Linked DNA regions of Callithrix jacchus. The protein of the gene in region 2 purifies or fractionates together with the protein of the main gene of each other region. This does not show direct contact. Links are inferred from orthologs where the notes say so. Each region holds a gene or a part of one and is shown on either strand. Other genes may lie near its edges. The genes, in order: EXOSC2, UPF1, ILF2, MOV10, MAGOH, SMG7 and STAU1.

Region 1 (4,820 bases), on a different chromosome or scaffold from region 2:
GGTGCCATTGTGCTCCATCCTGGGAAACAAGAGTAAAACTCCATCTCAAAAAAAAAAGAAAAGAAAAGAAAGAAAGAAAAAACAAAACATATGAGAAAGAAAAAGAAAAAAATATATATGCAGGAAATAAAAGGCATCCAGATTGGAAAGGAAGAAATAAAAAATTATTTCCATTCACAGATGACTAGGTCCTATGTACAGTGAAGCCCAAAGAATACAAAAACCCAACACCTTTTCATGATTTAAAAAAACACTCAGAAAATAAAATCGCTCCTCCACCTTCCACTGCTACCAATTTAGTCCAAGCCACCACCGCTTCAGATCACGAGTATGGTCCCCAATCCATCTCCCTAAGCTTGCCCTATCCCCCTTCAATCTCCCATCAGTAGCCAGAGTGAGCTGAAGTCCAGATCAAGTCTCTCCTCTGCTCCACCCCTACGAGTGGCTTCCCAGATCATGCAAAATAAAAGCCAAAATGCTTACAGTGGCAAAGAAGGCAGGCGCATGTCCACCCACCTCAGCTCTCAGCCTGCATCTGCCCCTACTTTCCGCTTCACTCACTCTGTTCCAACCCTACTGTCTTGCTTTCTGGGGCTAACCTTTATTAAATGCTTCTAAGTATCAGGCCCTGTGCTAAATACATGCACCATCTCACTGAATTCTAAAAAATCCTAAGCCAGGAGCAGTGGCTCATGCCTGTAATCCCAGCACTTTGGGAGGCCAAGGTGGGGTGAATCACCTGAGGTCAGCAGTTTGAGACCAGCCTGGCTAAGATAGTGAAACCCTGTCTCTACTAAAAACATAAAAAAATTAGCCAGGCGTGGTGGCGAGCACCTGTAATCTCAGCTACTTGGGAGGCTGAGGCAGCAGAATTGCTTAAACTTGGGAAGTGGAGGTTGCGGTGAGCAGATGGTGCCACTGAGCTCCAGCCTAGATGACACAGCGAGATTCCCTCTCAAAAAAAAAGAAAAAATCCTATGAAGTAGGCCATACTATATAGTCACTTTCAGAGGACGTAACCAAGGCTTGGAGAGATGACATAACATGGGGATACCTCTGAAGCCTGCGCTGCTCTGCACCACCCACCTATAGTCATGGTCAAAACCGAAGACTTACAGCAGGATGCGGCAGGCAGAGGTAGGGTGGGGGATAAGGGGAGGCAGAAAGAGCCTGGTCATACAACCTGGATGCCACAAGAAAGGGAATACACACCTTTTGTTCTCACCTGGTTTTCAAAGCTTTCACACAGATCAACTTGTTTACTCTCTCCACAGAGCCGGCAACAGACGCAATGAGTTTCTCCTCTCCCATGTACGTTCCATGGCCCCTGACGCAAGGCAAAGACACAAAGAAAGGATCCCAGGGTAACTTGCGGTGCTCTCTCTTCAAGAACAAGGTGTTCCTCAAAGCTAACAGGCTGCCCCTGTGAAGGCTGGCTTTTGGGCTGGCTGCTCCCTCTGCCTTCGTGCTCCTTGTTCAGACATCTACTTGGAGGTCACTCCTCTCACTCAGGTCTGCTCAGATGGCACTCTCTCCAGCAGGCCCACTTGGACTAGGCCACTGAAAACAGCCCCCCCCCCAACCAGGTTGCCACCCTCCCACCATCTTCCCACCACATTCCATTTACCCTGCTCCACTTTTCCCCCATTGCATTGACTGCCTAATGTTCTGAATAACTTATTCGTTGCACTTATTGTCTATCTCTGCCTGTTAGCACTCCACCAGGACAGAGATTTTTCACTCTGCTGTTATATCCCAACTGCACAAAATGTAAACATATGTTGAAAGCATTAATCAAAGAATGAATCCAAAGATTTCCTAGGGGCTGGGCATGATGGCCCACACCTGTAATCCCAGCACTTTGGGAGGCCAAGGCGGGTGGATCACTTGCAGTCAGGAGTTCGAGACCAGCCTGGCTAACACGGTGAAACCCCATCACTACTAAAAATACAAAAATCAGTCGGGCGTGGTGGCAGGTACCTGTAATCCCAGCTACTTAGGAGGCTCAGGCAGGAGAACCGCTTCAACCCGGGAGGCAGAGGTTGCAGTGAGCCCAGACAGCACCACTACATTCCAGCTTGGGAGACAAGGCCAGACTTCCTCTCAAAAAGCGGGGGTGGGGGGGAGATCTTCTAGGATCCACTAACCTTAAACTAACAGGTTAAAGGGCAATGCTATGAATGTTGTGCCCCTTGTATATATACAGGTACAAAAAAATAAAAGTTTGAAATACCACTAGTGTTAACTATGATGATGATGTAATGGCTGGTTATACTTCTTTTCTTACGTAATGATCTCATTTACTCCTCATTACCGTATCATACTGTTGTTATTATTATCTTACAGAAGAGGAAACTGGCCAGGGCAGAGGCAATGCCGCTAATAAATGCGATGGTAGCAGGACTGGAAGTAACCCCAATTATCTGACTCAAGAGCCTGCCCTCTTAACTACAACGCACTGTACTGCACCCCTTAGCTTCAAACTGTGTGTAAATGGGTGCAGGCAGCGCAATGTAACGGTTTGCCCTAAGCTCGAACAATTAAGGATTCTAAACTGAAGAGAAGGAGACCAAGTCAAGAACGCTCACCGTCCCCTCAGACAGCTGAAAACTGGAAAGACAGCCTGCTCCTAACCCTCTCCAGTTTTCCAGGTCTCCTACAAGGAAGCCTCAAAGATTTGGACTTCGGGCAGAAAACCCAAAAGTCACAGCCACCGGAGGTCAGGAGCTGAAACGAATGCAGACGGGGACACACAAGATGCCGGGGGTAAGAAGCACGAGGCTCGGAAGCGAGGCGAGTAGGATGCTCAGGCGATGTCCCGTGGGTCCTGCGGTGAGTTATGGACACTCAGGGATACGAGGCGTGGGCCACGTGCAGAGAGCCCTGAAGCGCTCTCTGAAGCCTAGACTCCCCCAAGTCTCCACGTACCGCATGAATCCCGTGTCCGTAGTGATTGTGTCCCCCGGAACCACTAGATGTTTCTTAGTGTCGCGGCCCAGTCTCTCGCTAAGAGGCTTGCGAGCCACTGGAAGCCTCATCTCCATCGCCATCTTGGCGCCAAAGAGTTGCGCAGACGCAGCTCAGCCAGGAGCCGCAATATCCGGCTCCGCAACTCCCGGCCGCGTCCTGAGGGGCGGGGAAGGGCGGGGACTCGGTGCAGCGACCAATGAGAACTCACGACCTGGAGGCCATGTTTACAATTGGCAACCATAAGGCGAACACGAAGGGAAGGGAACCGAGCTGCCATGTTTACTATTGGTAAGGGAGCACCCTTGGAATAATAAAATCTCACGTCGTTTGACTTTTTACCAAAACTCTTGTTTTTTTTAAAGATAGGCTTTCACCATGTTGGTCAGGCTGGTCTTGAATTCCCGACCTCAGGTGATCCGCCCACCTTGGCCTCCAAAGTGCTTGGATTACAGGAGTGAGCCACCGCGCCCGGCCACCAAAACTCTCTTGTACTTATCATCCCATTTATTGTTTACCAGGGTTAGAAATAATTGAAAAACGGAATTCTGAGTTTCTGTCCAATTCTAAGCTGCTGAAATCCGATATTTTGTAAGAGAGAGCTCAGGAAGATGAAGAGATGGGATCTACAGAAACACTATTTGAACAGAAAGAAGAGCCCCTTTCCACACCATTCCTAGTAGTCCCAGTATTCTACGTCCCTGCCGCCCCGTGGATGCTGGCTCAGCAGCATCATCTATAGCCCCCAAACCGGGCTCCAGATGCTTCTCACTTGGTTCTGTCTTTTCATAAAGACTCCTTTGAGCGAGCTAATTTATGCCAATATTTCTTCTGGAAAAAAAGTAAAAAATCGTCTAAGAAAACAGTATACTTGCAAGCCAGTATATCTGGTAGGGAAGGCAAGTGCGCACATAATACAAAGATCTTGGCTTGCATTTAGTCATACAGCAAATTGAGCGCTCTCTGTGTGCCAGGCGCTGTTCTAAGGATTCAGCGGGGAATAGACGGATGTCTCTGTGGATTTTTCTGCTGCTCCGTTTTATTTATTTTATTTTGAGACGGAATCTTGCTCTGTCACCCATGCTGGAGTGTAGAGGCGCGCTCTTGGCTCACCGCAACCTCTGCCTCCCAGGTTCAAGCAATTCTCCTTCCTCAGCCTCCCAAGCAGCTGGGATTACAGGTGCATGCCACACCGCTGGGCTAATTTTTGTATTTTTTAAGTAGAGACTGGGTTTCACGATGTGTGTCAGGCTGGTCTCAAACCCCTGACCTCGTGATCCTTCCGCATCAGCCTCCCAAAGTGCTGGGATTACAGGTGTGAGCCACCGCGCCCAGCTGCGGCTCCGTTTTGATAGGAACGTACCCCTCGCCCCTTCTCCCCCTCCCCCACTATCCTCTCGCTCTTCTTGCCCTGCATGGTTTGCAGCATTCACAAGAAACTAATTGGGGAAGATAATTCCCCATGCACGGGGACTCTAAAGAGGGTTAAATGAAATAATTTGCATCAGCTGTGGTCAGTAAAGCAGGTAAACCAAGTCCACCTCCTGAAGAAAGATCCATTGAGCCAATTGTTTTATCAATCTCCAAAGGGTCAACATTTCTTTCACTTAAGGCTCACAACCACACTTAAGAAAGCCAGCCCTGGGCCGGGTGCAGTGGCTCATGTCTGTAATCCCAGTACTTTGGGAGGTCGAAGCGGGCAGATCACAAGATCGAGAGTTCCAGACCAGCCTGACCAACATAGTGAAACCTGTCTCTACAAAAAATACAAAAATTAGCCGGGCATGGTGGCATGCACCTGTAATCCCAGCTACTCTGGAGGCTGAGGCAGGAGAATTGCTTGAACTTAGGAG
Region 2 (4,690 bases):
AGTAAACTGTATGGTGTGGTACGTGAATTCTATTTCAATAAAGCTGTTAAGCAAAAGTGACTGCAGGGCACTTGACAGCTGACAGCCACTGACCCAGTAAAATAAAAATCGAAAAGCAGAATGAGGGGCTGAGTCCTTCCAGGAGCCCCCAACTCACAGCTAGTTACACCGCCAACTCCTGAGGACAAAGAGGGAAAGTCTCCCCAAATGTCTTGCAAACACTGCCATCAATTCGCACAAGAGAGAACTTTCTTCTGCTTTCCCTTGAATGATATTCACAGACTTCCCTGCCCACAAATTCCAGTCTTCCCCTTGTGATACAAAGGGGTGCCACTGCCATTCCCCACAAACACATCCAAAATTACAGGCAACAGGTGGGTGGGGCATCTGGATCAATTAAAAACAGTGCAGGCCAAACCCTCTGATGTCACAGGAACTGCTGCGAGCTCAACTGCAATGGTTACCTCCAGGGAAGCATTTTAATGCTCTCATTTTGCACAGCCCAGTGTACTCAGGTGCAGGGAAAAAAAATCAGTTGTTTCAACTGAAAGAGAAGGACATGCCCCACAATCCCAAACAGAATGCCAGAAACAAAAGCAGAACTAAAGGCTGCCCCAAGTTTGCTGTTTCATGCTGGCTACAGTTAGAAGGATTCACAAGAAAATGATTACCTTTCACACCCAGCCAACCCCGCACCCATGCTGTCACAGCTCATGGCTCACTGCTCCCTGCTCCAGAGATCTTTACCGAGTCTCCCCAACAGGCTGGATGTCAGGTTACAGACAGCCTATACAGTTGACTAACACATGGATCTAGGTTTCCTTCAGTAAGAACAAAAATCTAACCGCCACCCCCATTGCACAGCTGCGAAGCAGAAAGGTCTACAGGGCATGAAAACTACAAGGTGGTGGGGCCTCCACAGCTCAGGCTCCCTTCTTCAGGGGAACTCTCCTCTTTCCCTCCCTCCCTTCACCAAATGTAAACAAAACAAAAAACACCCATATGTGCACACCTGTTCTCCTCACGCTGCACCTCTATGCAGGCCTTCTATTTTAAGAGATACAGGGTTAGAATGAGTCAAATGTTTTTTTTGCTTCCATTAGGGGCTAAAAGAAAGCCCAAGTGGGTGGTCTACCCACGGGAGTGACTCAACCGACTACCACGTAAGCCCCCCTCAACCAAGGACAGGGTCTGAGCTCACTCTGCTTGAGCAAGGGGTGGTTTCCCCAGCTCTGAAACACAAGCATATACCAAGGGACACTTCTGCCAAGGTGAGCCTTGTAGCTACTCCCTGGCAGAGCATTCAGGAAAATAAACCTGAGTGAGGTGTCAGGCACAAAGCAAGCCTAGGGTGAAAGCAACCTGAGATCCAGAGCACGATGAGGACATTCACCAGACCCCGGCCAACACCCTCACTCCAAAGCCCTCTCCCACCCCAGGTGGGCAGCACCCAGAACCAGGAAATGCATGCCTGACACTTTTCCCAAATCAAGCCTCCATTTAAAATACCCAAATAACCTTCTCTAAACATCCACATCATTAAAAAGTTTCCAAAGTGGCAGACTCGTTTATATAAAATCCACTATTGCTGTCTTATTGGAGGAACAAAACTCAAACTCAACTTTTTCAAGGCAAGAGTTGTGGAGTTATGTAACAGGTTGGTTTCAGCAACAGGCGATTCAAGGAAAAAAAACAAAACACAACCTGCCTCCCGAATGATCTTAATACCCAGCCAATGTGTGCTCCTCTGCGGGAGGCAAAAATTCTTCTCGGCTCCAGGAGCCTCAACCCTCCACTGGCCAGCGCCCCTACGCCTGGGGAAATTCGAACCTCGGCTCCTTGACCGTGAAAGCGGGGCGGGGGCGTGCCCAGACGGCTGCCACCGCAGATGGGAGGTGGGACAGGGAGGCCGGACTCGCCACTGGGGAGACGGGACAGATCCCCCCAGACCGAGCCAGAAACAGGCTTAGGGCAGGTCACCCTGGATACTCCCGGAAGGGGACTGAAAGAAATCACTCAAGATCCGGCGTGAGGAACACCCGGCCCAGGCCGTAAGGGAACTAGGGGTAGACTACAGAGACCTGCGGAAGAGGGTCCAGGGCAGGGCAGCCCTAGCCCGGCTGGAGTGGAAGAACCTGGATAAGTCAGCTGGCCAGGGGAGTGAGGGGGGGAAGCGGGGCAGGTTACTCCAGGCCACACTGGTTGTGGAACACAAGGCAGGTCAGCTCTAGCCCAGGCGGAGGAACAAACCCAGCCGAAGTAAAAGGAACAGGGGCAGGTTAGCTCGGACCCGGACGGAGGGGAGGACTCGAGGCAAGTCGGCCCGGCCCGGGAGTTGGGGTCCGAAGGAACTCAGCCCCGTACCGGCTGGAGCGGGGGCCCGGGGCAAGTTGGGCCAGGCCCCGGAAGAGAGCAGAACCTGGGGCAGGTAAGCTCAGGCCCAGACGGAATAGGGGACCCGGGGCAGGTCGGCCCAGGCCAGGCCGCGGTGTAGAACTCCAGGTAAGCCCCGGCCCGGCCTGGCCCGAGGCGGGGTCAGGGCAAGTCCCAGGAGCCGAAGCCGGGCCCGGGCTTCCGGCGCCGCCATGTGCCGCTCACCTGCGCGTCGAGCTGTCCCGCCGCAGCGCCCGCGCCCGCGCCGCCCGGGCCTCCAGCGCCGCCACCGCCCGGGCCGCCAGGGCCGCCGGGGGGCGTCTGCGTCTGGCTAGGAAGAGTGAAGTCGGTGAACTCGAACTCGGAGCCCTGAGTGTCGGCGCCGAGCAGCTCGGCCTCCTCCGTGTCCAGGAAAGTGAGGGTCTGCGAGCTGGGCCCGTACGCCTCCACGCTCATGGTGCCGCCGGGTAGGGCCCTCTGACCGGCTCCGCACCGCACTCGAGCCCGCCGCCGCGCTGAGGCCTAGGCCGCAGGCTTCGGGTCGCCGCCGCTGTAGCCCCCGCGCGTCCGGAACGGACAGAAACGCCCGCCCCGGCACCAGCCGGGCCGAGAGCTACGAGCGCCGAGACGCCGCTGCCACCGCTGAGCCCCTCCGCGCCGCCGCTTCCCTCGAAGCCGTCCGCTGCTCGCAGCCCTGAGCACGAACGGCCGCCACCGCCGCCGTCGCCGTGCGCGTGCGCGAGCCCGACGCCGGCGGAAGCGCGCGCGCTCTTCGCGGACGCAGCCAACCTGCGTTCGGGCGCCGGGAGCCAAGCGGCAAGACGGTACGCGCACGCGCACGCGCAGAGGGCGGGGCTTTCAACCGCCTGCGCGTCGGCAGCTCCAGGACTTTGGCCCTGCCCCAACTGCTAATCAGGGACGCCCGGCGGCGGGCGGTGTGGACTGGGCGGTCTGCATCTGTGGGCGGTGCGACAGTGTTTCGGTTTAATTGAGCGCTAGCCGAATACCTTACGTAGGTTGTCTCGGAACGCCCAACTGGAGAGGCTGGGCAAGGACAGTGCCCTCCCACCCCGGGCAAAAGCTGCTTAGAACGCAGTTTCCGCATCGGTAAAATAGGGGAATATCTCGCACACAGTAGATGCTCCCTGTGCAATGGTTTAATAAGAGAATGGGGCTCGGCACGGTGGTCACATCTATAATCCCAACACTCGGAGGTTGAGGCGGGAGAACTGCTTGAGCCCAGGAGTTCGGGACCAGCCTGGTTGACAGAGTGAGACTCCATCTCTACAAAAAAATACAAAAATTAGCCAAGCTTGGTGGTTCGCTCCTGTAGTCCCAGCTACTAGGGAGGCTGAGGTAGGAGGATTGCTTGAGCCTGGGAGATTGAGCCTGCAGTGAGCCGCGATCGCACCACTGCACTCCAGCCTGGCAGCAGAGCGAAACCCTGTCTCAAAAATAAATAAAAATAAATGAATGGGGATAGTCTTACGTTCTGGGCCTGGCACGTGGAAATGATGGTTGCTGCTGTTCCTGATTTCTCTGCCGCTGTTACTAACCAATTACAATTTTTGCTATGATTATTTAGCGGACGTATACAGCAAAACAATTGGAAGCATATGGTCTGTGGTGGAATTTAGACCTGACAACTTATTAGCTGTATGAAATTATACAAGTGACTTAACCTCTCTGAGCCTAGAGTTTCTGCTGCCAGTAAGGTGGGCTAGTAAGGCTGGGCAAGATGGCTATTTCCCGAAATCCCAGCGCTTTAGAAGGTAGAGGCAAGATGATCACTTGAGCCCAGTAGTTTGAGGCGAGCTATGATTGTGCCACTGCACTCCGGCCTGGGTGACAGAGATCCTGTGTGTGTGTGTGAATATATATACATATATATTATTATTTATTTATTTATTTTTTGAGACGGAGTTTCGCTCTTGTTACCCAGGCTGGAGTGCAATGGCGCCATCTCGGCTCACCACAACCTCCGCCTCCTGGGTTCAGGCAATTTTCCTGCCTCAGCCTCCTGAGTAGCTGGGATTACAGGCACGCGCCACCATGCCCAGCTAATTTTTTGTATTTTTAGTAGAGACGGGGTTTCACCATGTTGATCAGGATGGTCCCGATCTCCTGACCTCGTGATCCACCCGCCTCGGCCTCACAAAGTGCTGGGATTACCGGCTTGAGCCACCGCGCCTGGCCTTTTTTTTTTTTTTTGAGATGGAGTTTCACTCTTGTTATCCAGGCTGGAGTGCAATGGCGCGATCTTGGCTCACTGAAACCTCCACCTCCTGGGTTCAAGCAATTCTCCTGCCTCAGCCAC
Region 3 (4,884 bases), on a different chromosome or scaffold from region 2:
ACCAGTCTGGTCTGGAACTCCTGACCTCAGGTGATCCACCCGCCTCAGCTTCCCAAAGTTCTGGGATTACAGGTGTGAGCCGCTGTGCCCAGCCCATTTTATGTTTTAAATTAATAATTTTTATTTTATTTATTTTATTTTTTGGAGACAGAGTTAAGCTCTTGTCACCCAGGCTGGAGTGCAGTGGCACATGATCTTGGCTCACTGCAACCTCAGCCTCATGGGTTCAAGTGATTCTCCTGCCTCAGCAACCAGAGTAGCTGGTATTACAGGCACCCGCCACCACGCCCAGCTAATTTTTTGTATATATATTTTTAATTTTAAAGAAAAATAATTTTAAAAAAAGATGGGGTTTCACCATGTTGGTCAGGCTGGTCTTGAACTCCCGACCTCATGTGATCCGCCCGCCTTGGCCTCCAAAGTGCTTGGCTTACAGGGGTGAGCCACTATGCCCAGCCAATTTTTTGTATTTTTTAGTAGATATGGGGTCTCGCTCTGTAACCCACGCTGGAGTGCTGTGGCACGATCTTGGCACATTGTAACCTCCGCCTCCCGGGTTCAAGCGATTTTCCTGCCTCAGCCTCCTAAGTAGCTAGGATTACAGGCGCGCGCCACGACAAAGACTAATTTTTTTGTATTTTTAGTAGAGACAGGGTTTCACCATGTTAGCCAGGATGACCTTGATCACCTAACCTCGTGATCCGCCCGCCTTGGGCTCCCAAAGTGCTGGGATTACATGGGTGAACCAACGTGCCCGGTCCATCATCCAGATTTGTGGGGTGAGGGAAGAGAACTGGAGGGAAACTGCAACGGGGACGAGTTGGATTCTCCTCTCTTTGCCCCTTACTTTGCCCCCCTTTTCTTTACTTTTTTTTTTTGAGACGGAGTTTCGCTCTTGTTGCCCAGACTGGAGTGCAATGGCACGATCTCGGCTGACTGCAACCTCCCCTCCTGGGTTCAAGCGATTCTCCTGCCTCAACCTCCCTAGTAGCTGGGATTACAGGCACTCATCATGCCTAGCTATTTTTTGTTGTTGTTGTTGTATTTTTAGTAGAGATGGGGTTTTATCATGTTGGCCAGGCTGGTCTCGAACTCCTGACCTCGGGTGATCAACCCGCCTCGGCCTCCCAAAGTGCTGGGATTACAGGCGTGAGCCATCGCGCCCAGCGTCTAGGCCCCCCATTCCTTTTTCTGCGCCCTCTCCCCAAGGGCTGTCTCAATTTCCCCCGTATTCTCTCACTAATCATGTTTTCTGCACTAATTCAATCAATACTCTCCTCTCCTATCTGAAACCTGTTTCTTCTGTCTCGAGTTTGTAGACATGTAATGTTCATTGTTGCCCAAACTCCCTTTTCCCCAACAACTTCAACTCCGAGTGGGAAAACCGGCTGACATCGGTTGTATTTTTGAGGTAGGAAAATTTAAGAAGATATTTTGATGTTTTCATTCACCGAAGAAACCTAAATTATGTGTGCCGTATAGGACACGAAAATGAAAAAAGAAAAAAATCCGATAGCAGAGGATGGTTTCGATCCATCGACCTCTGGGTTATGGGCCCAGCACGCTTCCGCTGCGCCACTCTGCTATCTACAAGCCACTCTTTTTCAGGACTGTTATAGAAGACTCTCTATGTAGCTGTTGTCCCTATTTCTTTAGTGCCACCTAATGTCTGACCAAAAATCCGCCATTACTATAGAACCAGTTCTTATTGGCTAGTTCCTGACACAGTAGGCTTTTTTTATTGGTTCATAAGCCCGGGTTGACAGAGTAAGCCAATAGGCATAAACGATTGGGTTAGGCGGGAGCCAATCGCGCTGGGTTTTATTGGGACACGCCGGCAAGACGCCTCTTCAGTTTTCCGCTCCTCGGAGCAAAGGGGCGGTTGGTGCGGCCTCCATTGTTCGTGTTTTAAGCCGCCATGAGGTAAGGGGGTCGAAGTGATCGAAAGGTTGCAGGTATTCGACGGAAAACTTTGGGAACGTGGGCCGAAAGAAGTCGGAGGACCTAAAAGCGCCGTGTGTCCGGGAGCTGGCCAAAAACCGGAGAACTCCCGGTCTGGGAGAGTAGGGGAGTGGGAGGCCGGCAGAGGCGGGGAAACTTGGGCCCGGGATGGGGTTGGGGCCCAGGAGTGGGGAGGCGGGTTCGGCACCTTTGTCTCTGAAGGGTTGCGATGAGGGGGTGTCCTCAAGTCCCCGGAGGAGCTTCCCCCGACCCCCCATCTGGGGTGAGAAGGCTGCAGCGAGCCGCTTTCATCCTCAGTGCAAAGGGCTTGACACAGAGGACATGCCCCATAAATGCGTACGTTAATGAAGAAATGTGCAACTTCTGGCCTCCGAAGTATTAGGATTCGTGTGGCCCAGGATTATGGGTTATTTCGTGTAGGGGCTGAGTGTCTGAGCCCCGTGATCACTTGATGCAGGGTTGTGATTAACTCATCCAGAATGAGGAGGTTATGGGGATGTATAACTGGGCACCATTTGGAATGGGGAAAAGTGCAAGTGGGCATGGGGTCTCTTGCCTGCCGTTCGGAGGTTCCGAGGGATGAAAGTAGTAGCCACCTTAAAATGATATGGCCGGTGAGTATTCCTTCAATGAGGTCAAAATAAAATCTGCGTTTCTAGGGGTGACAGAGGCCGTGGTCGTGGTGGGCGCTTTGGTTCCAGAGGAGGCCCAGGAGGAGGGTGAGTGCCGGTTTTTAGCATCTCTGGACTTGGTTGTTAGTTTCTGCTTGTCATCTAAATAGGAGTTTTGGGGAAGACTAAAGTCACTTGGTTTTGTGAGAGCCAACTGTGGTCTTTACCTGCACCCCTGCTAAATGAATTTGGCCCCACTATGCTAAGAATGATTCCCCCTCCCCAGAGACTTTGTCACTCATTCTGAGGACTGACACGTTTTCAAAATTGCTGGTGTTATACATCTCACTTGATTCCTACATAGGGAATAATTTAGCTGTTTTTCATGTTTTAGGTTCAGGCCCTTTGTACCACATATCCCATTTGACTTCTATTTGGTGAGTACCTTGGGTTAATCATACACATTTACTGGCCACTAGAAATGGAGCTCCGGATCTCCCAGTTGATGAAGCTAAATGGTGGTTGAAGAGGCTGGGTGCAGTGCCTCACATCTGTAATCCCAGCACTTTGGGAGGCCGAGGCAGGTGGATCAGGAGTTTGAGATCAGCCTGGCGAAACTCCTTCTCTACTAAAATTACAAAAGTTAGCTGAACATGTGCCTGTAATCCAGCTACTTAGGAGGCTGAGGCAGGCGAATTGCTTGAACCTGGGAGGTGGAGGTTGCAACGAGCTGAGATGGCAGGACTGGGAAAAAAAAAAAAAGTGAAGTAGGGAGGGAAAGGGATTTATGAAAAGACTTGGGGTTTTGAGTCAACAGCTCAACAGTGTGTTGCTTTACATACAGAAACAGTGTAAGCAGGGTGGGGAGATTAATTCCTTGGCTACTATTGGCATTAAATATGATTATCTTTTTTCTGAACAAGTAATTATATCTATGGCTTATCTGTTATAGTGATAGCTTAAATTATGGCTATTCCAGCTTGTATCCTTGGTTGAACTTTTTTTTTTTTTAAAGACATCATCTCACTCCATCACCCAGGCTGGTGCAATCTTGGCTCACTGCAACCTCTGCTTCCTGGGTTCAAGAGATCCTCCTGCCTCGGCCTCCCAAGTAGCTGGGATTACTTGGGAGGCCTGCCACCATGCCCAGCTAATTTTTGTATTTCTTTTTTTTTTTTTTTGAGATGGAGTTTCGCTGTTGTTACCTGGGCTGGAGTGCAATGGCACCATCTCGGCTCACCGCAACCTCCGTCTCCTGGGTTCAAGCAATTCTCCTGCCTCAGCCTCCCGAGTAGCTGGGACTACAGGCGTGCACCATCATGCCCAGCTAATTTTTGTATTTTTAGTAGAGACGGGGTTTCACCTTGTTGACCAGGATGGTCTCAATCTCTTGACCTGGTGATTCACCCGCCTTGGCCTCCCAAAGTGCTGGGATTATAGGCGTGAGCCACTGCGCCCAGCCCCAATTTTTGTATTTCTATTTAATAGAGACTATGGTGTCCAGGCTGGTCTTGAACTCATGACCTCAAGTGATCTGCCCACCTCAGCCTCCTAAAGTACTGGGATTTACAGGCGTGAGCCACCCAGCCCAGCCTTTGAACAATTTTTTGTTTCTTTTTTGAGGTAGGGTTTCACTCTGTCGCCTAGGCTGGAGGGCAGTGGTGCGATCTTGGCTAACTGCAACCTCTGCTTCCTGTGTTCAAGTGATTCTCCCACCTTAGCCTCCCAAGTGGCTGGGATTACAAGTGTGAGCCACCATGCCCAGCTAATTGAACAAATTAAGGAGTGAAAACAAGTATAGAATTTTCTATTCTTAACTTATTCTGTTGTAGTAACAGAGAAAACAATCTTTCCTGTGTATTATTTTTGGTAAATAGAATGTAGTTGTTTATTTCTGATTTAGTGTGAAATGGCCTTCCCCCGGGTCAAGCCAGCACCTGATGAAACTTCCTTCAGCGAGGCCTTGCTCAAGAGGAATCAGGACCTGGCTCCCAATTCTGCTGAACAGGTATGTTCTTTTGGCTGTGTTCCAGAAATGTCTCTAAAACAGTTAAAAGTATTGGTAAAGAGTAACTGTTGGTAAGGGTAAGAATGGTGTTAAGGTAGCCTGAAAGCCACAGAAGGTTTAATTTTCTCTTTATTTCTCATTGTGGGTAGAGATAGCCAGGTGGATATGTACACAGATTATATACACTTATTTTTTTATTTTTTTTTTTTGAGACGGAGTTTCACTCTTGTTACCCAGGCTGGAGTGCAATGGCGTGATATCGGCTCACCGCAACCTCCGCCTCCTGGGTTCAGGCATTTCTCC
Region 4 (4,124 bases), on a different chromosome or scaffold from region 2:
GAAAGCAAACTGGGGTGTCCGGCAGAGTGGGAAGAGGTGAGTGAGGGTGACAGACTGGGTTCCGCCATTCCGAAGCCTCAGGGTCAGCACCTCTTTGCGGTTCAAATCCAGGCGGATGAGGAGCTGCCCGTCTCGGGCTTCATGGGGCCCCTGGACTTCCACATCCACCCCGTGTTTCCCGTGAAGATACTCAGACCTGGGGAGAAGGGGAGTCAAGGCGGAGCTGGGGTGGGCGCGGTCTGGACTGGGGAGTTACCCTGGGGAAAGTTTTAGGCTTGGGAGGCAGGCAAAGTGCCAGCTGTGTTCAGCAAGCTCGCCTCCTCCCCGAAGGCCAATTCCCCGCCCTTCCCCCACTCCCTGGAGGAGGGGGACTTCCTCCCACTTGTGCGACCCACTCTGTCCTCAGACAGCCCCTTCCCTCACACCCTGCAGGCCTCCGTGCCCCAGCACACACACCTGTCATAGAAGATCTTGGCTAGCAGTGACTTGTGGTGTTTGCTGATATCTGACCCCAGCTTCATTCTCCTCTTTTCTGGCAACCGCACGTCGGCCCAGCGGTCGAGTCTGAAGAACCTGACCCGAGTCTTGGTGACGTAGGCCAGATTTGCAATCTTCATTCCATACAGCATGGAGGAGAAGCCAGGGGCGGGGGTCCCAAAGCTGCCAGAAGCAGAGGAGACTGGAAAGTGAGGCAAGGCAGGGCCTGCAGGAGGCAGGGCGGCGGGTGGGGAAGGGCGTCGGAGGGTCACTCTGTGCTGGACACACCAGCCCTGCTGTGGAGCAGGATGGGGCCCAGAGACAGAGAGACACAGGCTCGGGATCGGAGGAATGTTTCATGTTTTAAGGGAAGGCAATGCGACCTCCCAAGGCAAAATACAGTTGTTTTAAACAGTGGGTTCTGGATTGTTCATTTCTGAGGGGAAAAGCCCAATCACAGGCTGCTGACTGGAAGGACCGAGGGAAAAGAGAGAAAGACATAAAGTTCTTTTTGTGGGGGAAACTGTTTGGGACAGAAAAGAAAATACAAACAACTCAGAAGAAAGAGCTGAGGCTAAGGGGAAGCGGAATGAGTTGATTCAGAGGGGTGCATGTGGGTTCCAGCCCGTTGGTGAGGAGAGAAGGGATCAGAGACAGTACAGATGTCCACGTGTGTGGGCAAGGTGGCTGATCAGACAGCAGTTTCCACCCGAAGTCATAGGGTGCAGGTGGAACCCAAGCAGGAAGGGAAAGGATCCTTCTCCAGAGATCAAATAGCCTGGCTTTGTGCCTAGAGAAGGTGAAGACAGGGAAAACTGGTCAGAAGGACAATAACCTCAAGGCTCAGCGCCTGGAGTTCAGTTCAGTCAATTCAACAAACACTTACAGAGGCCTGTTATGTGCCAGACACTGTGCTGGATGCCGGGGGTTCAAAGATGCAAGAGACTCAGCGCTTGCCTCGAGGAGCACACAGACTGAACACATACATTCCAGCATGGTGCCCAGAGGGCAGCTCATCGGCCACAGAGGGGCTCAGTGCCACGGAGGGACACCGAGCCCAGTCTGGGGGCAGAGGAGGTGTCCACGAAGGCTTCCCCAGGAGGCAGCATAAGAACTCGGTCCTGAGGATGAGTGGGCATTACCTGGGCACAAGAGAGTGCAAAGCGTGAGCAGATGTGAGGAGTATGCAAGAACGTGTGCTGGTACGGGCGGAGGGGTTGCCCCCTTGACAACTCTAGCCAGGTCAGCTCAGGTGACCGCATCTCTCAGAGCCTCACTTTCCTCCCCTATAAAACTGGAGGAAAGCGAGACTTACCTCGTAGGGTTGTTATGAGGTTCCAATGAGATTCTGACACAGCAGAGAACCACTGAGCCAGTGCTTGGCACATAGGAGACCTCAGTAAGGGTGAGCCATGATTAGTATCACATACAGTTTCATTGTGCTAGAGTGAAATGCACAAGGAGGGGAGTGGCAGGAGGAGCAGAGGTGGGCAGGGACCAGCTCATGGACAGTTTTGCATACCAGGCCAAGCCTGGACTTGACCCTTGAATGCCTGCAGTCCTTTTCCCCGCTCTACTGATACCCAGGAGCCTGAGGACATTCCCATGTGCAACATACTTCAGGGACACATTCAAAATCTAGACTCTGACTCAGATTAAGAGGCCCTCTCTTAAAAGCAAATCTTTGTTTATGAGAACTATGGTAATCCCTATTTAACTTTTAAGGCTAAATCGGCATGGACACTCACTAGGGTATATGGTAAGATCATTTATGGTTATGAAGATTTTTCAGGTGCCCCTGCCTGTAACTCTGCCCCTCTCCTTCACCCCAAACAAATGAGACCGGTACAATTTGGAAAACGTTGAATTGGCTATGATTTGTTTTAAGAAGGTAATAAATCATTGGAAAGCATAATAGAAAATGCTCGGTAAATGTTAGCTACTATTATTAGTATTTAGATTAGTAGAAATAGTAGTACTAATAGTAGCAGTAGTATAGGAGCAGTAACAACTTACTTTCAGCCCACGTCAGAGGCTACAGCGTGGTTACAGAACCACTGCGGTTGGTGGGTTTTAAGCAGGGGAGTGGCAAGATCAGATTTGCATTTCAGATCACTCTGGCATCAGGATTGGAGGATGGATTTGCTGGAGGCAAGATTGTAGGCAGGGAGACCAGTTAGAAGAAGGCCCTTGCAATTTTCTAGTGAAAAGATAACAAAGGCAGGAGGCAAGGCAGTGGTGGAGATAGAAGGAGAGCAGCAAGATTTGCTAATACTTAGGATGTAAAATTAGCCGAATTTGGTGACTGACAGAAGTGGGAATGAAGGCTGGGAAGAGGGAGGAGTCTAGGATCCCCAAATCAGTGGCCTGGCTTGTAGGACTATCTCTGAGATGGATGTAAGACAAGAGGAGGAGAGGCTGGAGGGACTGACCATGACATTTGGATTTGGATATGCTAGGTTTGAGATTCCTGTGGTCCAGGCAACCAGCTCCACAAGTCAGAAGCTGAGAACTCAGACCAAAGTCAAGGTTACAGCCTAGTATTAGGGAGTCCTCAGGTAGTGGTTATAATCAAGGAAGTGTAGGAATCTCCCCAGGAGTGTGAGTAGTTGAGAGCAGCTACTAGACAACCCAGGGAGGAAGGGAAAACAAGAAACCCTCAAGAGAGAAAGGAGAATGAGCCAAGTCTCAAAACCAGGTGTCAGGATCAAACACTGCTGAGGGGTCCAGTAACAAAGGGACTGAACTAGGAGATTATCAGAAACTTTCGCAAGGGCCCCTTAGAGTCGATCGAAGTCCCACGGATCGAAGCACAAGCTAATGCTGACAGCAGCTAGGCTCCACAGGTGTCTTGACACTTGCAGCCCTCCCAGACACCAGTTCAGTCCCATTTTGGAGAGTCACTAGTGTAAGAACACTGCATGCATATCCCTCGCAACTCTAAGAAAACAAGAGTGCAGCCTCCAAGAAAAGTGGCTCCAGGCTCCCAGATCAATGCCGGGCAGAAAGAGGGCTTTGTGGAAACTGAAGAAACTGGGAAGGGCATCCCCTGTCTGAGGGCGTAACTGCTCATCTCCAAACGGGGCCAGCAGGGACTGCAGGCCTAAGATGGCGAGATCTGACTTTCTTTCTTTCTTTTATTTTTTTAAGAGACGAGTTCTCGCTATGTTGCCCAGGCTGGAGTGCAGTGGCTATTCACAGGTGCGATCCCACTGCTGATCAGCACGGGAGTTTTGACCTGCTCCGGTTCACCCCTCCTTAGGCAACCTAGTGGTCCCCCGCTCCCAGCAGGTCACCATATTGATGCCGAACTTAGTGTGGACACCCGACTGGCATAGTGCACCACAGCCCAGAACTCCTGGACTCAAGCGATCCTCCAGCCTCAGCCTCCGCCTCCCGAGTAGCTGGGACTACAGGCACATGCCACTGCACCTGGCCAGATTTGACTTTCAAGACAAGACAAAATCAAAATTTTAATATGAAACCTCCTATTTTTGGAAACCTGCCTAGCACGAGGGCAGGCAGAACTCATATCTACAAATTTTCCAAATTCTGTGGATGCTATCCCCAAATTATTTCTCAAATTATTCTCAATGTCTGTTACCACTATTCCAATTCACATAACATTGGTTTAGGTGACAGTCATA
Region 5 (3,352 bases), on a different chromosome or scaffold from region 2:
ATTTCATACCTAAATCAAACCAGTGTTAAATTTCCTTAATGGTATTAATTTTACTTTTTTTTCTTTCTGAGATGGAGTCTCACTGTCGCCCAGGCTGGAGTGCAGTGGTGCAATCTGGGCTCACTGCAGCTTCTGCCTCTCAGGTTCAAATGATTCTCCTGCCTCACCTCTCTGAGTAGCTGGGACTACAGGCGCACGCCACCACGCCTAGCTAATTTTTGTATTTTTAGTAGAGATGTGGTTTCACCATGTTAGCCAGGCAAGTCTCAAACTCCTGACTTCAGGTGATCCACCCACCTTGGCCTCCCAAGGTGCTGGGATTACAGGTGTGAGCCACCACATCTGGCCTAATTTTACATTTTTTTTGAATCATTATCCAAATAGGGTCCAAATATTGTGTTATGTGTCTCTTAAGTCTCCTTTTTAAGTTCCCACTCCATTTCTGTTTCCCTTGTAATTTACTGAAGAAACTAGGTCATTTGTCTTGGAATTTCCTCTCAATATGGCTGACTGAAATCCTACTGTATTTTTAAAACATGTTTCTATATTCTCTTATTTCCTTTAAAATGATAGTTATATCTAGAGAGTTGATTAGACTTTATGTTTGGGCACTACCTCACATAGGACGTTAGTGTTTTACAAAGTAATTAAGAAGACTTCACATGTTCAGGTCTTTATAAAGTAATAAAAATTGGATTTTATCACATTTATTAAAGACAGTCATTTATAGTTTATAAAAAAAAATACCACCCTGATATACAAAAAATTTTCTTGAAAACGCTAATTAAAAACTACTCCCACCCGCCCATGTCCACACCAATATTCAATCTAGATTGGTTTGATCTTGAAGTGTAATCCAATAAGACTGAAGACCAAACACTTCAGGTCCTGGACAAGATAATAAAATACTCGTAAGCCTTCTGGATCCCTAAAATGCAAAAGGAAAAAAAAAGTTTAAAACACTGAGGTAAAATGGGCAAAAGATACCATTTAATAATCTCAATTATTCCTCTATCAAAATGTTCCTTGTAAAGATATTTAGGGCATTAAAACTTTGACCAAAAAAGGAAAAGACTATATATTAAAATGGCATATTATGAAATAATTTAAATATACTGAGTTTTTAAAATAGGAAAATGCTTACATTAAGTGAAAAAAATTAACATTGATCTCGACTATATTTTTTATGCTTCTTAAAAAGTATATATTCTATTAATGCACAGAAAAAAAGACTAAAAAGAAATACTGCAAGATATTAATAAAGGTTGTCTGATAAGATAATGGATGGTTTTCACCCTTCTACTTTTCTACATTTCCTGTGTTTTCTACAATGAGCATGTATTACTTCCAGAGTTAGGAAAACTTTTTTAAAAAGTAGTAATACTAAGCAGGACCAAGAGGTTGAAGATTACTGTGGCATCACTAGCTAAGAACAAAGAGTATCCAAAGGGAAGAACAAGGAGAGTGTGCAAAGGAAGACAATTATGCCCAACATTTGCTAAAAGTGAGCCATATCTAATCCTGAATCCCCAAAACATAAGAGCCAAAGAAGTTGCCAAATTCTAAAGATTCTTCGTAGCACATAGGTTCATGCCTCAACTTAATAATCTGCCCCACTGACAACACAAATTTTAAAATTTGATCCATTTTCACCAAAATTATTTGTAAAAATTAATAAATTTAAAATCAAATAAAATTTAGATCCTAAAAATTGTCAAGTTTCATCAAAGTCAGATTTTAAGATGTGCCAGTCTGAACAGTCACACTGTGAAGGCTATTCAGACTTGGTGACTCTGGTTTATCATGAGCACTTTTCTAGCATATTCCATTTTTGTCCTGGCTGCTCCTGTGCATTAATTTGTATGTATGCGTCAACAAGAAGCTCTCAATAGCAATGACTAAATGAAATACCAAAAGTAATAGGAGCAAGTCTTCAAAAATAATTTGAGATCCCTCCCTAACAAGGAGGACAAAGCTGCCCACCTGTACCAGATCTTCCCATAGTGATCCCAATTTGGTTAAGAGTTTCTTATCAATCTGCTCCAAAACAGACACAATTGGAGATAAGGATAATGCACTTACTTGGATTGATTGACATCAATAAGGGAACCAATTTTTGATGTTGTAAAAGAAATGTGTTCATCTCCAATAACGATTTCAAGCTCCTGGAAGCATTTTAGAAAATCTAAGTCAAGTAAAATTGGATTATTCATCAAGCACACAGAAGGATTAATCATTTGCCAAATCACACAAACTTGACTACAGATGGCCATAAAAACAAGGGCGGTTCACTCTGAACACTGAACTGTGCTGGGGACTAGAAACAAGACATAAATAAAGCTCATATTTAGAAGAAATTGTACCCTCAAGGCTCTACTATTTCTGGAATTTGAAAAAAAAATCTATGAAGCTTTTTTTTTTCTTCCCCCCCCGAGGCGGAGTCTCATTCTCTCGCCCAGGCTGAAGTGCAGTGGTATGATCTTGGGTCACTGCAACCTCTGCTTCCAGGGTTCAAGTGATTCTCCTGCCTCAGCCTCCCAAGTGGCTGGGACTACAGGTGCCCACCACCACCCTGTCTCTATTAAAAATTTTTTGTATTTTTAATAGAGACAGGGTTTCGCCATATTGGCCAGGCCGGTCTTGAACTCCTGACCTCAGGTGATCTGCCTGCCTCAGCCTCCCAACTGCTGGGATTACAGGCATGAGACACTATGCCCAGCCTATGTAGTATTTTGTCTAAGTTTTCATTGTCAACAATGTGGAGTAAAATGGATACATCTATGTTTTAAAAATACCAAACAATTGGACTGGGTGTGGTGGCTCACACCTGTAATCCCAGCAGTTTAGGAGGCCAATGCAGAAGAATCACTTGCGCCCAGGAGTTTAAGACCAGTATGGGCAACTTGGCAAAACCTCATCTTTACAAAAAATATAGAAATTAGCTGGGTGTGGTGGCATGCACCCATGGTCCCTGCTACTAGAGAGGCTGAGGTGGAAGGATCCTTCAGCCCAGGAGGTCAAGGCAGCAGTCAGCCGTGATCTCATCACTGTACCCCAGCCTGGGCAACAGAGTGTGACCCTGTCTCCAACAACAACAAACAAAAACAAGTACCAGAGGATCTAACCTATCAAGGCAACATGGGAAAAGGAAGTATTCCAGACCTTAGGTTTGATCCCCACTTCGTCACTCCATATCTGTATGACTTTGGGTCTTAATTTCTAAACAGTGACATGAGTACTGTAAACCTTCAAAAAATACTATGTAGAGCCTACTGGGTGCTAGGTGTTGTTCTCAGAGCTTAGGACAGATAAGTAAAACCAACCAAACCAAAGATCTCTGCCCTGTGGAACT
Region 6 (4,124 bases), on a different chromosome or scaffold from region 2:
AATGCACAAACCATCAAAAATAGTAGTTTCAAAACTGAGGAGTTATTTTTTCCATTTTGATAATTTTTGTCAAATGGCAGCTACTCAAGTGAAAACACTGATATACTTGTCTATACAGACCACACCTCAGTTTAAATTGAAGAGAGGATATATGCAAGGATTTCACATGCTTCAAATTTAATTTTTACCAATAGTTCACACAGTTAAGTAAATATAAAAACTGGGAGTCAGTTTCCTCCAAATTTTACGCTTCCTGATTTAGACAAGACAAAAATTCTCTGTATCTGAAATCTAACCTTAAACTGTTCTTCCAATTTCTCTCGAAGAGGGCTCAACTTTTCCAAGCTCTTACTCAGGTACACATGACCGTGGAATTTAATAAAGGCCTTGATGAAGTCAGAAACACCCCACTTGGTTTTCACCTCATCTCGGCTGAAATGAAAGAAAAAAATTCCATGAATCTTAAGCAGCAAAATGGCTACAACTGCTTAAGGAGGCACTGGCTTGCTAAAACAAATGAATACTTGATACACAAAAGAGAATTCTGTATTTGACTAATTTTTCAACTGCAACACACTCAAGATGAGTCAGTATTAACAGCCTGTGTACTCTTTTACTGGGACTGAATCAGATATTGACTGGTTGAAATTCAGTGACTATATAAAAATTATGACAAATCTACATCTTTAGAAATAAGAGAAGCATAGGTCATTATTTTCTGTAAAACAAAGTATAAGAGTTCAAGGCTCCAGGTTACAAAGTCCTCTAGAAAACAACAACAAAATCAACCCCACCTTTCCAGTGCTTTAGAAAGTGCTTTTTGCAGATTAGTGGAGGCAGCTGGGAAAGGGAACTTCACAGCAATGCTTCTGCAGTAGTAGAAAATTGTGGTCAGATGGTCTCCTTTGGAAGAAGCTAAGATAGCCAACTGATTGTAAGGCTGACCTACAGAAGAAAGTTAAGATTCTGGAGTAACCCCAAGAATGACAAAGTCTTGCTATCAGAATATGAATGATCAGTGTTTAAATACTCAAAAAAAAGGGAGTATTTGATAAGGTAAATATGCCTACCTCATTACAAACTGGCATAAAGTACAACGGCACACTTCAGCAATGGTACACAATATCATACACAGCTTAAAAAGTCATAATTAGGGTGGAGAGTGGCTTCACAAAGGGCTAAATAGTAAATAATTTCAGCTGTGTAGGCTAAAGGGTCTCTATCACAACCACTCAACTTTGCCACTGTAGTGTGAAAGCAGCCACAGACACTATGAAACAAGTCGTGTGGTCAGACTGCCATTCCTGCTTTAGACTCTTTCTAGAATCTAAAAGAATTTCAGTGTCTTAATTCTTATTAAGAATGGTTAAAATCATCAAATATCTGCTGTAACTTCTTTAACTCAAGAACTACTGCTAATGCCTAGTTTAGGGCCATTACAAGATTACCTTTTAGGTAATAGATTATTTTTCTGCGGGAAAAATGGTGGTATCTAAAGAAATAATTATTCTATAAGCAATTAAGGAAGCCAGAGTTGTAGAAACAATATCAAGTTATATTAAGAGACTCTATCTGTATTGCTTTACTGACAATAAGTCATTTTACTTGTAAAACAAAAATTCAGTTTACATGGAATGTACAGTTAAATAGAAAAACACGACAATAACAAAACAAAAACAAAAATACATGAAAACATGTATTGCTTTCATAAAACTTCAAAGGTGAGCCTTATCTGCCACGTTGTTATAAAGAACGAAGTGTCAGGGTCAATCTCAGGTTGATAGGCCCACTCACCATTGGAGGGGACAAGCTGAGCTGCATGCCTATAGTAGGACTCTGCCTGGCTGGTCTGGTTTCTGTATCGAGCTAAGAGGAGGAAGAAAGTTAGTTTTTAAAAAACCCAAAAAACAAATAGTAGGGTAGTATTTCCAAAACAGCTATAGTTTTAAGTTCTAAATATAATAAAGACATTAAAGTTAATTTAAAATTAAATGCAGAAAATACTTTAAAACAAATTAACTATAGGATTATGTGTGAAGTGTCCATCAGCCTTCCTTATTTGGGACATTCAGCATGTAACCAATTTTAAAGCTTACCTAGACCCCATTTTCAGGTCCTCCAGTGTCATGCATCACCAGCTCCCACTATGGACTATGCTGGTGACCTGGAGCCGGCCCACAAGAAGGGGTGAGTTATATGGCACTTAAAAACAAAACAAAACAAAATACACTATACAATATGATCTGAAAATGTATTTCTTCAATATCTTATAAATTGATTTTGAAAAATGCCTCATTCCTATCACATTAAATATGTGTGTGCAAAGAATACATTTAAATCAAAACAACCTAAACACACTATCAATGAATCTCCCTGCCAAATTCACTGCTTACTCTGATGTAATCTCCTCATGGAACCGATGATTTGTAATATTCAGAAATCTAAAATGTTCAAACTTAAAAGCAATAATGTTCTCCATTCTTTGTTATTTGAGGACAAGCAAAACATAATCCTATAGTTAATTTGTTTTACAACCTTTCTAGGTCACCTTAAAGGAATGAACGAGAATAAATGTTATGTAATATTCCCAGGTAAAATACATTTAATAGAAATACAAATTAAACTTTTAAAAAGAAAGCAAAATTAAAAATGAACTTTTAGTGCACTGGTAAGAAAGAAAGAGGGCAATTCTGCTTCAGAAGGAATAATTTACAAACCCCACCAGAGTACAGACATTTAATTTAGAAAATATTATGGCACCACTTTGAAAAATTTAGCTTTGATTACATTTTTGCTGTTTATTATTTGCCTATACTACATAAAGTCTTAATAAAATTTAAATCTTAATATGAATTCTTCAAGATGCTCTGCCAATCCCAAAAATATTGAGAAATTTTAAGTTCCTTAGAACACATTTTATAGTTTCTTCTTATGACAATCTAAATTGTGTGTGTATGCTCAGCTTAAAGGAAAAGAGTTTCTTTCTATGACTACTCCAAAGAAAAGGATGAATGTATTATCAATTCCTTCACAGCAAAGGCTCACCAATGTCTCCAAGGTGGACGAGGCAGTGCTGGCAGATATAGGAACAGGAGCTAGACTGTGGCTTCACTATGGCGCTGGTATGCGTCTGTTTATTGCTGATAATTCCCAATTGGGAAGACTTCACACGGCATGGTAAATCTACATTAAATACTGTACACAGTTCTTGTAATAACTAAAAGAAAAACAAAATTTAGTAGTAAGTCACAAGTGCTCTGAAAGTAAAATTTATAAACTGTAAGATGTGTACCTGGTATCACATGGTGCTGAAATCTGAACAAAAACTGCATGAAAATTATATGGTAATCATTCATAGGATAACCAGTATCATTCATTATAAATCATACCTTTTGAATTCTCAAGTATTACAGCAATCTAGGATGTGCATTGAAAAAAACCAGCAGCATTTTTAAAAAAAGATTATTTAACTGGATAGGATTTTCAGACATATTCAGCAAGCAAAGAAAACTACCACCCTCAGAAACACACAAAAATTATTAGATATTGGTTACAAATTTAACTTAAATGCAAGCCAAGGTATTTGTCAGACTTTAGGCACTTCTTGCAATTTATTTTCTTAAGCTATATGCCAATTCACATGTCTTTGCATATACAACAAATCTCATGGTAGTGTAGATCTTTACTGTATTAACCCACTCCTACCTCCTCTTTTCTCTGTTCTTCAAGTATGAAGGTTCTTCTTCCTAGTCAGAGTTAACTATTCTGACTGTGTGTGCCTATTGCTACATTCTTTTATGGCTCCTGTCTGTCTCCCACCTCTCCATTTTTCATCTTTGTTCAACCTCTCACATGCTTCTTTCCTATGGCCCACACACCAAATGTCTCCCACAGAAAAAAACAAGAAGAAAAAACAAAACAGAGCTAAAACACTCCCCTTGACCCTAGATGCCTTTATAGCAACCTTCTAAGGCCTCTTCCTCTTCTTGACCAAATGCCATTAAAGGAGTGCACACTTTTTATATCTGCTTTCTCAACTCCTATTCACTCCTTAATCCATTATGATCTGGCTTTCACACAATCTCTCTCCCTCCTCTCACCCAACTAACCATTACACTACTGAA
Region 7 (4,124 bases), on a different chromosome or scaffold from region 2:
CTCTGAAATCTAAAGCACTTCTGGTCCCAAGCATTTAGGATAAGGGATACTCATCTAGTACTTCAAGTTTGTCTTCTCTGAGTTAATGACTCTTCATTTCACTGGCCAAGGCCAGCCTTTAAGCCATTTCTGAAAGGCATGGTCTCTACTTCAAATTCTATATAGCTAGAAAAGGGGGCACGGAGGAGAAATATCAAGGGGCACAAGCAGATTTAACCACCACTCCCAGCAAAGCTCCTCTGAGATTTCACAGGAGCGAGTGAAAACTCAGCTCAGGAGAACATGTCTACAACAGCTGCTGCCCACAGGACTGTGTCAACCAACGCTGTTCTAGTGAGTGAGAGCACAAGACTCAGAAACTCTAAAAGGCGCTCATCCTTTGTAGCAATACTGTGATCACTCTCATGGAGGACTCACTCCTGGGGAAGTGCTGACAGCATTCAGATCTGTGGTTCTCCAACCTTTACCATACCTCAGAATCACTCCAAGAGCTTATTAACAACAACATGGCTGAGTGGCTCAAGCCCATAATCCCAGAACTTTGGAGGGCCAAAGGGGTCAGATCACCTGAGCTCAGGAGCTTGAGAAAAGCCTGGGCAACATGCTGAAAACTAAGTCTCTACTAAAAATACAAAAATAAGCCGGGCATCGTGGTGAGCACCTGTAGTCTCAACTACTCAGGAGGCTGAGGCACAAGAATCACTTGAACCCAGGAGATGAAGTTGCAGTGAGCCAAGATCATTCCACTACACTCTAGCCTGGACAACAGAGGGAGACTGTCTCAAAAAAAAAAAAAAAAAGCCAGATTTCTGGGTCTTACCTTAGATCTACTACATTAGAATCCTGGGGTTGGGCCCAGAAATTTTTTTTTTTTTTTAACTTATCAAGTGATTGTGATGCAGAAAATCCCTGTATCAGTACCCAGCAATTGTTTATCAACTGTTGGCTGGAAGGAACTAGAAATACCTATACAATCGGACTCCAATTAAATTAGCACCAGTCAAGTAAAAAAACTGAAAAGCCTCCAAAATAACTCACATTATACTACTACCTTTTTGATGTTTTAACAAATCTCACCACTGAAAAGCTCATCCTTTTAACTTCACTAAATCCTCCTCTTTTAGCTACAGCCTCATTTTCTTTTATCTGGTCCTCAGTGGGCCCTGGAAACAGATCATCTGTTAGAAGAGGTGATTACAGTGGAAAATGGAAACGCAGCGTAACAAAAGAAAAACAAATTGCTTCTGTGCGGCCAGCCATGAAGTCTGAGCTGGGTCGCCCTGGGTGGCAACAGATACAATAGACCTCACCAGGCACCCTGCCCAAGGTCCACTGGGGTCTACACCTCTCATCACATAATTAGCCCACTGTTCTCTGCAAGTTCTTCTTGTTCTTTGTGAACATATTTCCTGGGGAAGAAAAGTCAAACACTACCCAGAGATATTTTCAGGTGGCATTTCCTGCTGTAATTAAACAGAATTATGAAATCTCAATGTTTTCAATTCACTGGGCTTCTTCTGGACTTTGTTATTTTATCTGTCATAAGATTCTACCTGGCCAAAGATATTCACTAATGCTCTAACCCCTCAATGGCATGGAGTTACTGATTCCCTAAGAATTATATTGCTGTTTAGTCACAAAAACTTTTTTTTCCTATCATGGTGGTTTTAAAATATGTCCCCTAATTCTTTGACAATCCTTTTATTTAGAAGTGGGATTCTCCATATTGTGAATGTACTAAAATCCACTGAATTGTACACTTAAAGTGGTAAATTTAGGCTATATAATTTTTATCTCAATTTTTTAAAAAGTGACGTTTCTCTATCTCCTTCCTTTGAATCTGGGCTCCGTGCCCACTTGACCAGTAGAGTATGGTCGACTCGATGCTGTGATTTCTGGGCCTAAGCCTTAAGAAACTGGCAGCTGCTTCCATTTCCTATCTTCTAGGATGCTTACCCTTGGCAACCAGACACCATACCATGAGGAAATGTAGGCAATTTTTCCATAGGTCACCCAGGGATGAAATGAGGTCCTGGGGCCAGAGCCCCAGCTGAGCTCCTAGCTGACAGCAAGCATCAACTTACCAGCCACATGAGTGAGCCATCTTAAAAGCAGATCATTCATCCCCCTGCAGAGCTACCTCAACCAAAGCTGTGTGGAACAACCCTTGCCAAGCCCTGCCTCAACTGCAGACTCATGAGCAAAAAATAAATGCCTGGAGATGTTTAAACCATCATTAAATGTTGTAATGGTCCGTTATGCGGCAACAGATAACAGGTGCTTCAATATCATCAAGACTGGCTGGTCAAGAACAGCTTCAGAAAATTCTCTAATCTAGTATCACAAATCACAGTAGATTCTGTCAAGTGTAATCTTCAGCACTGAAGACTTCATCCATACATGTTCTTCACAACTCAATTGAATTGCAAACTTTCTAACATGTTCACACCATATCATGTCACTCAAAACCATGCCATCAAGTAAAAAAGAAGGTAACTGATTTTCTTAATTTTAAAAGAAAAAAGGGGTAAAAAGGAAGAAAGCTACAGAGCACAAAAGCTTGGAGGCATTCAAAGAAAAATTATGGAAAGCTGTTAATGTGCCTTCTTAGAAAAGATAATGTGCAGTGACATCTCCCCATGACCCTTCTACCCTGTCAAAGTGTCAGAGAACCTGGGCTCTGCTCCTCACCTCCAGCCTCTCTGGCGGGGGCTCATTCTGCAGGATCCTCAATGCTTTGGCAGCAGCATCATGTTTCGCAGCCTGTCTTGTCTTTCCTTTCCCATTAAATTGCTGTCCTCCCACAGAAAGCTCCACTTGATAAAGTAAAGGTGGAACTGGAAATGGGTAAAAGTACCTAGAAATAAAAGGGGGTTAGGCAAATTATAGTCTCAAGTTGGTAAGTCACCCATACATCCTCTAGCAAATGCAAATCTTTCCTTCATCACGATCCTACTCACATTAGTGTTTGATGCTAACCACTCTTCATCAATATATCCAGATTTCATAAAAGCTTAAACTGAATTAGAATTTCTACACAGTATAAGCAAAGAGTGTTTAGCAATCCCAACTTATGTTTCATGAAATACAATGGCTTATAAATTATGAATTCAATGTATCATGCTAACCTGTACTGATAAAATCTAAAATAAATTAGGCTTTGGCTGAGACAGAAATGTAGCTTGCTCTGCCTTCTCAAACCTTAGCTTTACACTTGCATGTCTCCAATAGGAGGCTGGGAATTTTAATGTACAGGTCTTTTAGGAAGGATCCTCATTTCGAGAAATCCCAACAAGCTGTAGCCTACCTAGCAGAATCCAGTTTCTTATCTATTTCATAGCTTATATTTTTAAAATGACTTAACCCCCAAACAGAGAGCAGGGAAATGAAGAATTCCATTTTGCTCATCATCTATCCACTAATGTCTTATTATCATGAGCAAAAGATTTTCAATGCATGGCATTTTCAGGTTTCAATTAATATTTTATTGCACCAGAGCTACTTACAAAGCTCACAAGTTCAAAAACCAAAAAGTACCCAATAATAAGGTATCTATAAATGCTGGGAATCATTGTATTACAGGAATCATTATGCTATGGGAATCATGTCCAAATATAATTCATTTACACAAAGGAGTTACAAGGGTGATCTTTAACCAGACTGTTTGAGGGCACAAGCCACACTGCCAGTGAGGAACATGCTCAGGCCCTTTCCAAAGGCAGTAGTTAAACACACACACAGGGCCAGATGTAATGGCTCACGCCTGTAATCCTAGCACTTTAGGAGGCTGAGGCAGGAGAACCTCTTGAACTCTGTTCCCGACCAGTCTGGGCAACATAGGGAGACCCTGTCTCAATTGATTTAAAAAAAAAAAAAAAAAAAAAGGAGGGGCAACCAGGCACAGTGGCTCATGCCTGTAATCACATTACTCTGGGAGGCCAAGAGAGGTGGATCATCTGAGGTCAGGAGTTCAAGATCACCCTGGCCAACCTGGCAACACCCCATCTCTACTAAAAAATAAAAAAAATTACCCGAGCATGGTGGTGGGCACCTATAATCCCAGCTACTCAGGAGGCTAAGGCAGGGAGAATCACTTGAACCTGGGAGGTGGAGGTTGCAGTGAG

What was found.
Region 1: the proteins of UPF1 (region 2) and EXOSC2 purify together in Homo sapiens (affinity purification with western blotting; 3 studies listed by BioGRID and IntAct, with this or other methods). This does not show direct contact. The link is inferred for Callithrix jacchus from reciprocal best matches to the Homo sapiens genes UPF1 and EXOSC2.
Region 3: the proteins of UPF1 (region 2) and ILF2 purify together in Homo sapiens (affinity purification with mass spectrometry; 3 studies listed by BioGRID and IntAct, counting the BioPlex papers as one, with this or other methods). This does not show direct contact. The link is inferred for Callithrix jacchus from reciprocal best matches to the Homo sapiens genes UPF1 and ILF2.
Region 4: the proteins of UPF1 (region 2) and MOV10 purify together in Homo sapiens (affinity purification with mass spectrometry; 3 studies listed by BioGRID and IntAct, with this or other methods). This does not show direct contact. The link is inferred for Callithrix jacchus from reciprocal best matches to the Homo sapiens genes UPF1 and MOV10.
Region 5: the proteins of UPF1 (region 2) and MAGOH purify together in Homo sapiens (affinity purification with western blotting; 3 studies listed by BioGRID and IntAct, with this or other methods). This does not show direct contact. The link is inferred for Callithrix jacchus from reciprocal best matches to the Homo sapiens genes UPF1 and MAGOH.
Region 6: the proteins of UPF1 (region 2) and SMG7 purify together in Homo sapiens (affinity purification with western blotting; 7 studies listed by BioGRID and IntAct, with this or other methods). This does not show direct contact. The link is inferred for Callithrix jacchus from reciprocal best matches to the Homo sapiens genes UPF1 and SMG7.
Region 7: the proteins of UPF1 (region 2) and STAU1 purify together in Homo sapiens (affinity purification with mass spectrometry; 7 studies listed by BioGRID and IntAct, with this or other methods). This does not show direct contact. The link is inferred for Callithrix jacchus from reciprocal best matches to the Homo sapiens genes UPF1 and STAU1.

The regions. Positions count from the first base shown.
Region 1 is NC_133502.1:179,353,848-179,358,667, reverse strand, and holds the start of EXOSC2 (exosome complex component RRP4), read right to left. Parts: upstream 3,060-4,820; 5' UTR 3,051-3,059; coding exon 2,929-3,050; exon of another isoform or gene 2,589-2,928; intron 1,328-2,588; coding exon 1,226-1,327; intron 1-1,225. UniProt on the Homo sapiens protein: Non-catalytic component of the RNA exosome complex which has 3'->5' exoribonuclease activity and participates in a multitude of cellular RNA processing and degradation events.
Region 2 is NC_133523.1:17,531,040-17,535,729, reverse strand, and holds the start of UPF1 (regulator of nonsense transcripts 1), read right to left. Parts: upstream 2,894-4,690; 5' UTR 2,841-2,893; coding exon of another isoform or gene 2,830-2,840; coding exon 2,599-2,829; intron 1-2,598. Other genes in the region: uncharacterized protein LOC144580760, read left to right, coding at 2,828-2,840, 2,894-3,285. UniProt on the Homo sapiens protein: RNA-dependent helicase required for nonsense-mediated decay (NMD) of aberrant mRNAs containing premature stop codons and modulates the expression level of normal mRNAs.
Region 3 is NC_133519.1:14,091,398-14,096,281, reverse strand, and holds the start of ILF2 (interleukin enhancer-binding factor 2), read left to right. Parts: upstream 1-1,868; 5' UTR 1,869-1,918; coding exon 1,919-1,923; exon of another isoform or gene 1,924-2,053; intron 2,054-2,621; coding exon 2,622-2,681; intron 2,682-2,967; coding exon 2,968-3,010; intron 3,011-4,476; coding exon 4,477-4,581; intron 4,582-4,884. UniProt on the Homo sapiens protein: Chromatin-interacting protein that forms a stable heterodimer with interleukin enhancer-binding factor 3/ILF3 and plays a role in several biological processes including transcription, innate immunity or cell growth.
Region 4 is NC_133508.1:150,649,860-150,653,983, reverse strand, and holds part of MOV10 (helicase MOV-10), read right to left. Parts: intron 2,623-4,124; exon of another isoform or gene 2,494-2,622; intron 1,620-2,493; exon of another isoform or gene 1,364-1,619; intron 1,268-1,363; exon of another isoform or gene 661-1,267; coding exon 457-660; intron 197-456; coding exon 1-196.
Region 5 is NC_133508.1:90,372,709-90,376,060, forward strand, and holds the end of MAGOH (protein mago nashi homolog), read right to left. Parts: intron 2,166-3,352; coding exon 2,083-2,165; intron 929-2,082; coding exon 829-928; 3' UTR 672-828; downstream 1-671. UniProt on the Homo sapiens protein: Required for pre-mRNA splicing as component of the spliceosome. Plays a redundant role with MAGOHB as core component of the exon junction complex (EJC) and in the nonsense-mediated decay (NMD) pathway.
Region 6 is NC_133519.1:41,704,178-41,708,301, reverse strand, and holds part of SMG7 (nonsense-mediated mRNA decay factor SMG7), read right to left. Parts: intron 3,218-4,124; coding exon 3,046-3,217; intron 1,867-3,045; coding exon 1,795-1,866; intron 946-1,794; coding exon 795-945; intron 433-794; coding exon 297-432; intron 1-296. UniProt on the Homo sapiens protein: Plays a role in nonsense-mediated mRNA decay. Recruits UPF1 to cytoplasmic mRNA decay bodies.
Region 7 is NC_133506.1:44,230,948-44,235,071, forward strand, and holds part of STAU1 (double-stranded RNA-binding protein Staufen homolog 1), read right to left. Parts: intron 2,858-4,124; coding exon 2,692-2,857; intron 1-2,691. UniProt on the Homo sapiens protein: Binds double-stranded RNA (regardless of the sequence) and tubulin.